3 linked regions of the Lytechinus pictus genome follow. The protein of the gene in region 1 purifies or fractionates together with the protein of each later gene. This does not show direct contact. Links are inferred from orthologs where the notes say so. Each region holds a gene or a part of one and is shown on either strand. Other genes may lie near its edges.

Region 1 (3,759 bases):
TAATTTCTGACTTGATATTTCCAGAGCACCCGAAGGCTTAGTTCAGATTTAAGAACAAAATCGAAAAATCACTAAAATGAAAAAACTGATTTTGTTCAGAGTTCAAGATCTATTTTCTGGCAAATTTATGATGGTATCTTCAAAATGCAATGAAAAAGGCAATTTTACACTATCAAAGAACGGATCTTGTGCGTTCCGGCCGGCTTTGGGCCGCTGAGCTAGCAGCGCAGCCTAACCAGTTCGTTTGGCAATTATTTCGGGGGCGACTTCCAGATTTTATGCCGCCCCCAAGCATAATTTGGGGTGATTTTGGGGGCGACTTTAGGCATTTCCGGGGCGAATTCGCCCGCCGCCCCCGTGTATTTTTTCCCCTAGGGTATGTGTGCTATGGTATGAGTGACGCATCTTCGGGACCTGATTCGCTTGCGTACAATTGCGGCAACAGGGGGCATTTGCACCCCCCCAGAAATTTCAAAATCTGAAAAAAATGTACACATATAGTAAATGCTGCTCTGGTGCCGCCACTGACGGCAAACTAAACTTGTTATAATAAATTTCAAACTTTTGAAGAATACTAACCTCTAATCTGACCTTTTTGACCTCCTCTACTTTGTCTTGGTCACCTTCTTTTGTTTTATCTTTTTCTTTCTGCTCAATGCTGCTGACAATGCGCCATGAGGCACGTCTTGCTCCTATTACATTCTTGTAAGCTACTGACAGAAGGTTCCTTTCTTCTACTGATAAATCTTCATCACCTGAATTGGCCACCGTTTTCATATAGCTAACCATTTCTGCAAAAGAAAAAAAAGATTTATACTGCTTTAACAGATAAATACAAAAGTTATACAGTGCATACCAGAAAAAAAGATTATTACAAATTAAGTGGAGCGCCTCTGGCAGTCTCACCTGCATCACACCATTCATCTAAGCACCGCTAATTTAAAAAAAATACTATCTAACATAATTATTCACAAAAAATACAATTCATATAATGATACAATACTATGTTCATTGAAAATAAATGACATTTGACCTTGATCATGCGACGTAAGACTTGTCAGTGCTACTTGATTACCCCTATATCCACATTTCATAAACTATATCTATAAACTTTGAAAGGTATGGCAGCAATCTAATATTTACCTCCAAAATGGCCAAAGTTAATTGACCTTAAATGACCTTTGACTTTGGTTATGTGACCGGTCATATGACCCAAAACTCGCATGAGATGTTCAGTGATATTTGATCACTCTTACATGTATGTCCAAGTTTTATGAATCAGATCCATAAACGATCAAAGTTATGATGGTAATTCAACAAATACCCCCATCATGGCCAAAGTTCATTGACCTTAAATGACCATTGCCCTTGGTCATGTGACCTGAAACTGGCACATGATATTCAGGGATACATGGTTGCTCTTATGTCCAAGTTTCATGAACAAGATCCATAAAATTTTAAAGTTATGACAATTCCTCAAATAACCCCAATATGGCCAAAGTTCGTTGACCCTAAGTGACCTTTGACCTTAATCATGTAACCTGAAACTCATGCATGATCTTCAGTGATACACTTTTACCCTTATGTCTAAGTTTTATGAACTAGGTCCATATAACATTTCAAAAACTTAACCTTGGTTAAGATTTTGATAAATTTCACAAAAGTGAGCACTAAATGCAAGTAATTGTGATTTTTTGTGAAATAATGGATGAAAACATGATTACTAACGAAATGTATCATTATTTTGTCATGTCATGTATGTAATAAATGAAGCATGTTAATATTCAAAAAGCCACCAAATGCCCTGACAGTATTATGTACAATAATGGGGACAAAATAAATTTACAAGAGTAAATACTAAAATGCACATTACTAGTATTAAAGGGGAATCCAGCCTTGGCCATAAAATGTTGTGTTGGGAAGGAGAAAAATAAATTAAACAGAATGGTGAAAGTTTGAAAGAAATCGGACAAGCATTAAGAAAGTTATAGCTGTTTTAAAATTGAGATCACTAATACTATGTAGATTTCAAATTGGCAACTGGGGAAGTAAATTATGACAAGGGGCAAGGACAACTTTCCCATAGGCCATGTACTTTATTATCAGGGATTTGTGGTTTACTTTTAAGTACCCATTCCACTGGGGCAGTAATCTAAATATAACCCAGGTAGTATATTTTTTTTATGTCCTCATGAACGAAAAATATAATTTGAAATAAAACTTATAGGAAAAATGACATTTTAGCCATAATATGTATTGGAGTACATGAAAGAGTAGTCCTTGCCTTACATAACTATGACATCCCATATGCGGCCAATTTGAAGTCTCCATGGGTATAGTGATTACCAATATTTACAACTTTTAAAAATTCATAACTTTCTTGTTGTTTGTCCAATATTGTTCAAACTTTCACCTATCAACTTGTCCGATTTTTCTTTTCCTTACAAATACAAGTTTTCATTTGGGTTGGATTCCCATTTAAGATAAGCGAGTGGAATACTGGCTAAAGACATAATTTTTAACGAAAGATAAATGCAATTTATGTGATCAATGCTGCATTTTGACATTCAAAATGGCCGCCATAGGCCCATTATACATTGTGTACGATGCGATTGGAGAAATTAATTTTCACAAGAGTAAGAACTACAAAATGCATGTAATTGTGATCACGGAGTAAAATAATGTGTGAAAACATGTTTTCTAGCGAAACATACATGTATCATTTCTTATGTCATGCATGAGATAAATGCTGTATTGTGAAATTCAAAATGGCCCCTATAGGCCCTAACACTATTACCTATGTAAATGGGGACATGTAGGTTTGTAAGAATTTTGATTTACCTAACTATGAAATCCATAAAATCCTGTTGTATGATAAAACATTATTTGAAAACATGATTTTTATAGAATATAGCATTTCTTCTGCCATGTAAGTGATAAATACTGTATTTTGACATTCAAAATAGCTGATGCAATCCCTAATTAAATTATGTTACATGCGTATAGGGAATCTACTTTTTACAAGTGTGAGAACAATAAAATGCATGTACATGTATCTGCGATGTATGAGTAAAAATATTGTCTTCAAAACATGATTTCTAAATACAGTAGATACATCACATATTGGTCATGGAGGTAATAAATTCTGTACTTTGATATAAAAATGGCTGCCAAAGGTTCTAAAAGTATTATGTACATTGTAATTTGGGACATACGCTTTTGACAGAATTTGACTTTGCTTGACTATAAGTATTGCGTAAGAGTGAAATATTGTCTAAAACCATGGTTCCTAACGAGGTATATCATGTCTGGTGCATTTAAGGTGATAAATGCTGTATTCTGAAATGGAAAATGGCTGCCATGGGTCCTTATTGTATTACTGTATATACAATTTGAATGAGAACAGATAATTTTCACAAAAGGGCATATGGCGGCCATTTTGAATTTTGAAATATAATATTTATCACCTAAATTTTAGATGATATATTTCGTTAGTAATAATGTTTTCAGACAATACTTTACTCATACAACACCATTTAGTCAAGCAAAGCAAAAATGTATCAAAATCATTTGTCCCCATTCACATTGTACATAATACTGTTGAGGCCTGTAGCGGCCATTTTGACTTTCAAAATACAGTATTTGTAACCAACCTGGCAGAAGAACTAATATATCTTGTTTGAGATTATGCTTTCAGACAAAATTTTACTCATAGATCACAATTACGTGCATTTATGGTGCTCACTCGTGTGAAAATTT
Region 2 (3,759 bases), on another chromosome or scaffold:
ATGGGAAATATCTAAAAAAATTACAAATTTGTTCATTTGTATGAGGAGTGTATGATGTAAAGGAAGAAAAGAAGAGAAAGGAGATGAGAACAAAGAGGAAGAAGGAAAAGGAAAAGGAAAGGAGAAGAACAAAGATGAGAAGGAATGAGAAAGAAATGGGGGTGGGGGTAAGGAGAACAAACAAGAAGGAAAAAGGGGGATTGAGGAAGAAAGAATGAGCAATAATAAGAAGAAAATGAGGAATATAGAATAAGACAGAGAAAGAGGATGTAAGAGATAGAGGAAAAAATCAGAATTATTAAGAACCGGTATTCAACAAAGGGCCTAACTCACCAGCAATCCACACCCCATTGTCTTCATCAAACTTGAGTTCTTGACCCCCGAGTTTGACCTTTGGCTGTCCGTAGGTCATCCCATACTCTTCCTCTCTGATGGAGCTCTCCAAGCGATTAAGATTATTGAGAGAGGCCGACCTTCTAGGAGGGGTCTTCTTTGTATTGAACTTGTTCCCGAGAAGAGGCATGCTTGTGTGGTCACTGTCAGAATAAATGAAATTGGATAGAAAATCGTCAAAATTCATGAGGAAAATTTAAATAATCTAATTATATTAAAGATGTTGATTCTTTTTAAATGAAGAGTGAGCAGTATAAAGAGACAGTTGACTGATTTATCAATTCAAATAATCTATTTTTGAAAATAATTTCTCTGACTCTTCATTAGGAAAAAATTAAGCAACCCAAAAAGTTTTCCTTTTGAATTTTAATGTTTTTGACGACACCATAATCGATTGCAAATGCACTGGTCTGCTTAAATCAGCTCATTTACAGCTGACAGAGTAAACAGTGCCGGCACTGGTGATTGAATTCTCATTTTCTAAATCTTTTTATTACATAATTATTCCAAAAAGAATGATTTTTATATAAAATTAATTCACGAAACTAAAAAAGAAATGTATTATCAGCCATTTACACATTTTATGGCTGGATTCATGAAAGCAAAACATGGTACAACAAACAAACTGCATGCAACCATGGCAATAACTTACAAATCACTAATAAATGTGAGGTTGGTCGCATCACATATGTGGGTCCAAATCACTTGCTCACTGCAACCATCCTGAATGTGGGGAATCGACATGTAGGACTATGGTATGCCAATGCTGTACAGAGCACACACTTTAAAAAATCATTAAAATGTCACTTTTGTGACCAAAAATCCTAATTTCCATACAGTTGCAATTCATTTTCCATTAGTATTTCGGTTGGGAATAATTTTTGTATTCACCAGAGCACTCAAAGACTTGAATTTTGGGAATATTTTTGCATATGCCCTCTATGGTGGAAAGTAATGTGGCAAGAAAATTGTCATTTTCAATCTCTGTTTTTAATTTAGAAAAAATAAAAGAATTAGGATCCAAGTTATATGATGAATAGCTATAATAGTAAATGTAAACTGACAGTGTCAGATAATCAAGCATTTGTCCTTAAGAAAAAGAGAAAATAAGCCAAACATTGCCAACCTTATTTTGCCACACATGGAGCAGGCCTACTACTAGTCACAGAACAAGGTTATATCAATCATTATTACCTATGCCTTTTAGCAAATAAATAAAAGTCATATTTCGAGACCAACGAGGTAAACATTTGCCATATTGCCCTCCCCGGGCTTTGCCCATAGGAATCCTGTACAAAACAGAGGGCAATATTGGCCATATTTCTGCTAATGCGCTTGCGCAGAAGGAGCCGAAGTTGATCGCTATTTTCAGTATTTAAAAAATTTGGCTGGAACCAGTTTATGAACCAACATATTGTAGATTTCTACGAGTTAAGTGCATGTGCGCGCCATACATGATGCGCGACTGCAGGGCAACATTACAATTTACGTCACAATTGCTTTATTTTATCAAGCGTTACTTCGCTAAGTTCGTGAATAACCTGAAATCAGAAGTAGACTGTAGTGATAAGCAAACAGGCTTATAAATTGTTCAAAATAACAGCTTGAATTACATTACATTTACGACAATGACAATTGAACCAGCCAGGGATTTGGCTCCCAAACTGCAAACTAAAATAAAATTATAAATTAGGCCTATATTAATATTTTAAAATAAAAATAGTTGTAAACTAGTCCTGAGCAATTCGACTGATTGTATCACAGATTGGTAATTTAAACCCATCGTCATTATTCAACCTTTATTAAGGCTACATTTTAGACGGGCTTTAAAAAGGGTGGCAATTAATGGCATCAATCTCGCGCTCGCTCATCGCTCACAAACGTCAAACGCAAACCTAGTTCAGTCTCACTTCAAACAACATAAATCTAAATATATGGGACTTAAGTCGGGCAAACTTGGTAGTTTACTCCGAGTTTACTGAGCAATGGTTGTCAGTAAACCTGGGAAATTGCCTTTCATACTTTTGTAAATATCATTAACAATAAACCAGAACCATAATAAAACATACATCAATTTGAGGAGAGATCTAAATACCACTTACGTTTTGTCAAGTTGAACACCTGTCCACAAAAGTAGAAGTTAGAACCGTATCGAATCGCTTTTGTTTGTTTTTTTTTCTGCTGAATTTTTGACGAGAGAGGGCCCCCCTAGCTCATCACCACTGGAAATTTCAAGTTTTTATCAAGAGGAACTGAAACGAGATTTGATTTTCTGTCAAATTTAATTTCATTTCAATTTTCAATATCTTTTTTTCTGTCTTCTCATTACTTAGGCCTATTACTTATAATTCTCATTTGTCATGTTCTATTGGGCACCTCAGCATGGGCCGCAGAACCAAGGAGGAGGGGCTCCCGGGGGGCGAAATTATTTTTCCCACCGAGTTCTGGACCGACATATGAATATTCATGACTTGTGTCTTCGGATTGAGAGTACGCATGCGCGTGGACTTCGTCTCGACCACTGCCGATCGTAAGCATTCACGTTGCTCAGAATGAATTAGCATCGTCAAATTACCGGTACCCTTACATAGTTACATAGGCCTTATAGGCTTAGATCTATATATATATATATATCAAATTCTTAAACACTTAATAAACTAGCTGCCATTAATGGCAAGACATGTGCTTGGGTAGGGCTAGCTTAGGCTAGCGCATTAACTTTACCTCAAATCTGGACCTGTCTAATGCCTAATACTAATAGGAATAGCCGACTAATGCCATGGTTAACTTCGAACTTGTTAATTCCGAACTTTACGTTTGATTAGGTTTGGACCAATATTAGCTTATTTACCAAACTTTAATATGTCTAGTCCGTATACAGAACCAGTCCTAGATCTAAAAAAAAATATCTTAGTTCTAGTCTAGTCTCTAGATCTAGACTCTGATCTACGCGCTACAGCGTACAGCATGGAACCACTAGTGTACCGAAGGGGGGGGGGGGCAGACTGCCCCCCCTGACGAGTCACAACTGATCCAGGGGACGTGCCCCCCCCTTGAGAAGCCAAATTAATAATTTGTAATGTCAAAATGCAACGAAAAAAGACGTTTGTCCCCTCTTTTGAACGTGAAGATCTTTTTTTTTTTCTTGTCAATTTTTTTTCAGCTACGAAATCCTTAATTTTGGGTGAAGACGGGGATCAAGATCACTGACGTTAATTTGTGCCTAACGTTAGAATACGTTCCATGCACGCACTGGTGTACCTAGGATTTTCCAAAAGGGGGGCAAATTTTTTAGAGGATATTTCGTCCGCGAAAAAATGTGACAAGCCCCCCCCCCAAAAAAAAAGGGTCTTCACCCCAAATTAT
Region 3 (3,759 bases), on another chromosome or scaffold:
GAAATAGATATCGCTTTAACACTGCTTGACTAAAAAACAAGTATTATTGGAATAAAAATTAGAATGAATCATTTTTCCTAAATAAAAATTCTCACAGAATAATTATTCAACTTCAATTTTATAACAAGTATTGAAAATATTTGTAAACTTTTTTAAAAAGTGTTTTGATATTTGAAAAAAACAAACAATATATGCAGATTCAGATATTTAATTTTGATAAGGAAAATATATTTTTTCATGTAAAACCACCGATTTATCTAGTAAAGAACATTGATTATTTTGTATTCTCCACATAGCTATTTAAGAGCATATAATTCCTGAAAAACTAAAACAATGCAATTTTCATGTGAAACCATACATTTATCCAGTAAAGCACATTTTCATGTTAAAACCACAAATTTATCCAGTTTTTTTTTTCATAACCTCCACATAACTATTTAAGGGCATATAATTCATAAAATCTTTTTAAAAATGCACTGAAATGCTGACATACAGTTTTGGAGCATTTACAAACACTAAAAAGGGGCATTAAACAAAAGTATATTCAGATGTACAAACACTGCAGATATTTGTTGTTGTTGGTGTTAAAGGCAAAGTGTCTATTTGAATATACCGAGAAAAATCAGACAAGCATAATCATAAATATTTCATAACAAGTGGAACGCCTCTGGCAGTCTCGCCTGCATTACGCGATTTAATATAGCAGCAGTGCTAACTTTGAAAACTACTATAAAATAATCATTCACAAAAACACCAATCATATAATGACATAATATCACGTTCATTGACCATGAATGACATTTGAACGGTGACTTAAGACCACATTTCATTCACTCTATCCATAAACTTTCAAAGTTATGATGGCAATTCAACAATTACCCCAACATGGCCTAAGTTTATTGACCTTAACTGACCTTTGACCTTGGTTTTGTGACCTGAAACTCACAGGGGATGTTCAGTGATACTTGATTACTCTTATATCCCAAGTTTTATGAACTAGATCCATAAGCTTTCAGAATTAGGATGGTAATTCAACAAATACCCCCAACACGGCCAATGTTCATTGACCTTTAATGACCTTTGACCAGGGTCATGTGACCTGAAACTCGTACAGGATGTTCAGTGATACTTGATTACTCTTATGTCCATGTTTTATGAACTAGATCCATAAACTTTCAGAGTTAGGATGGTAATTTAACAAATACCCCCAACACGGCCAAAGTTCATTGACCTTAAATGACCATTGACCATAGTCATGTGACCTGAAACTCGCACAGGATATTCATTGATACTTGATTAACCTAATGTCCAAGTTTCATGAACTAGATCCATAAAGTTTATTGACCCTAAATGACCTTTGACCTTGGTCATGTGACCTGAAACTCAGGCAGAATGTTCACTAATACTCGATTAACCTTATGTCCAAGTTTCATGAACTAGATCCATAAATGTTCAAAGTTATGATAGTAATTCAAAAAATACCCCCAACTTGACCAAAGTTCATTGACCCTAAATGACCTTTGACCTTGGTCACGTGACCTGAAACTAGAGCAGGATGTTCACTAATACTTGATTAACCTTATGCCTAAGTTTCATGAACTAGGTCCATATACTTTCTAAGTTATGATGTCATTTCAAAAACTTAACCTTAGGTTAAGATTTGATGTTGACGCCGCCGTCAAAAAAGCGGCGCCTATAGTCTCGCTCTGCTATGCAGGCGAGACAAAAATTGATGTAAAATAATATAAAATTTTAAAATTAAACAACTATTTCACAGTTATATACACAATATGGACAGTAGGGAAATGAGGAGCCTGAACGGATGAAGTCACACACTCACTAAATTGTATAAAATGTAATATTAAAATATTTCATTTTCCCTCCAAGGATGTAAAACATTAATCATGTTTGATATTTAAATAACTTAGGATTCAATCAAGAGCTTAAAATGAGATAATTTATGTGACTACATAACACTGATTCTCTAATGTGCATACCATTGTCCTTTAAAACTAATGGCAAGTCCATGGTGAAACAGAACACAAAACTTTTAAATTCCTCAACTTTCTTATTCTTATTCCATATTTGCTGCGCGGATCATTATGAAGCGTATCTCTTTCTACGCATCCTCAAATGCCCAGATGTGAGACCAGGGAAAATACAAAGGTATATTTTGCGCCGTCTCTGCATGCAAATTCAATACGTGCATACAGACTGAATATAATACAAATAATATACCTATCCCTTCCCGATATTCAGAAAATCTAGTGCAATACGGTTTTGTAAATGACCAGCTCAGATGTCTGATGCGGATAATAATACATGACATAATGGAAGCTGCTCACATACGATGTCATAGACATATCAATTTAACAATTTACAACTTTCCTATTCTGTGATGGATTTTCACCAATTCTTCAATATTTGTTTTCTCTTATTTTGCTGCTTTTATTAGAATCAACATATTGTCAGGGTGAAGTTCCTGTTTAAAATTTGAAAAAATAAAAATGATTTTTACGTACCTTCTCCAACTTGTGTCACTTGGCGGTGATAGGTAGGGTGCACTGTACGGTGCTGCTTCGTGTTATACAGTCAAGGAATATAAATAAACGTTCAGATATTAAAGAGAATTCACAAAACATTTAGCAGTTTGCTTGAAACAATTCTTTTAAATATAATTAATTAATGCACATAAAGATCTGCAATAACTAACTCCATTGTAAAGAGTAATAAGTAACCTTGTTCAATAGTCCATACGCTATGCTGTTTCAAGTGGAGGAAAATCCCCAACGTTCTTGCAGCCCATGCATGTTTATGTATTGATTTGTGATTCATGTTTGTAATTCTAACCTAAGAAAAAAATAAGTGCATAGATCCTTTCTCATCACAAGTAAAGTGGTTTTATTAAAAAAAACATATTGAAAGGGCAAAAAACAAATCAAATCACACCTGAACACTTTCCCCCTAAATAATGTGTTTTTCTCACAATTACAGTAACTGAAGAATGATATTAAGGATTTTTTTCCTTTCTAAGAGAGTGACAAGAAGACCTTGCCAAGTAAAATGGAAGGTTTTAAATCTGCCTTGCACTATGCATTATTTGCCAGGCATTATTATCAGTACGTGTCAATTTCATGAATATTTCAGAGGCTTGAAACTCGAGGGAAAAACCGACTTTCTACAGACTTCCTCAAGCCACCGGCACTCTAGCCTCACATCAAGCACTCATAAATTAAATATCTGTTATTACTGTCATATTTTAAGACAGATACAGAACCATCTTGTCATTTTTTAAGAGTATTTTTTTATTATACTCTAGAGTATAATTTTTTTTTTTTTGCATATGGAATAGAAGTAATTCCACTTCTTAAATTCCATTTTGATCTGATCAGTAAGTTATTGCATAAACTCGAGAACAAAAAAAGAGAAAAACATCTTATTTTCTCTAAATTGAGTAACAAATTTATTCTTTGGCTTTCAAACTGTGTTCTATGACTTCTTTCTATATATTTTTAATCTATTGTTTACAGGATATTGAATACGTCATACCTGATAAAGACACCATAATATGCAAACATGACATGGGCTTTATTTATGTAGTTTCCCACCTAATATTCCTTTTCTTAATGAATATTTTCACAACATCAATAAATTCTAATTAAGAATGAAATTCCATGATAAAGTGAATTGTATTGATGATGAGAATATTGAGAAAGCAATAATACTTAAAACTGAAATAAAATGAAATAAAAATAGGAA

The links.
Region 2: the proteins of uncharacterized protein LOC129254990 (region 1) and protein chibby homolog 1-like purify together in Homo sapiens (affinity purification with mass spectrometry; 3 studies listed by BioGRID and IntAct, with this or other methods). This does not show direct contact. The link is inferred for Lytechinus pictus from reciprocal best matches to the Homo sapiens genes YWHAE and CBY1.
Region 3: the proteins of uncharacterized protein LOC129254990 (region 1) and CREB-regulated transcription coactivator 1-like purify together in Homo sapiens (affinity purification with mass spectrometry; 3 studies listed by BioGRID and IntAct, with this or other methods). This does not show direct contact. The link is inferred for Lytechinus pictus from reciprocal best matches to the Homo sapiens genes YWHAE and CRTC1.

Annotation. Positions count from the first base shown.
Region 1 is NC_087246.1:3,534,913-3,538,671, reverse strand, and holds the start of uncharacterized protein LOC129254990, read right to left. Parts: upstream 2,490-3,759; 5' UTR 925-2,489; coding exon 580-924; intron 1-579. UniProt on the Homo sapiens protein: Adapter protein implicated in the regulation of a large spectrum of both general and specialized signaling pathways. Binds to a large number of partners, usually by recognition of a phosphoserine or phosphothreonine motif.
Region 2 is NC_087254.1:20,300,997-20,304,755, reverse strand, and holds the start of protein chibby homolog 1-like, read right to left. Parts: upstream 2,592-3,759; 5' UTR 2,496-2,591; intron 537-2,495; 5' UTR 524-536; coding exon 334-523; intron 1-333. UniProt on the Homo sapiens protein: Inhibits the Wnt/Wingless pathway by binding to CTNNB1/beta-catenin and inhibiting beta-catenin-mediated transcriptional activation through competition with TCF/LEF transcription factors.
Region 3 is NW_026974140.1:7,637,121-7,640,879, reverse strand, and holds the start of CREB-regulated transcription coactivator 1-like, read right to left. Parts: upstream 2,580-3,759; 5' UTR 2,523-2,579; intron 1-2,522. UniProt on the Homo sapiens protein: Transcriptional coactivator for CREB1 which activates transcription through both consensus and variant cAMP response element (CRE) sites.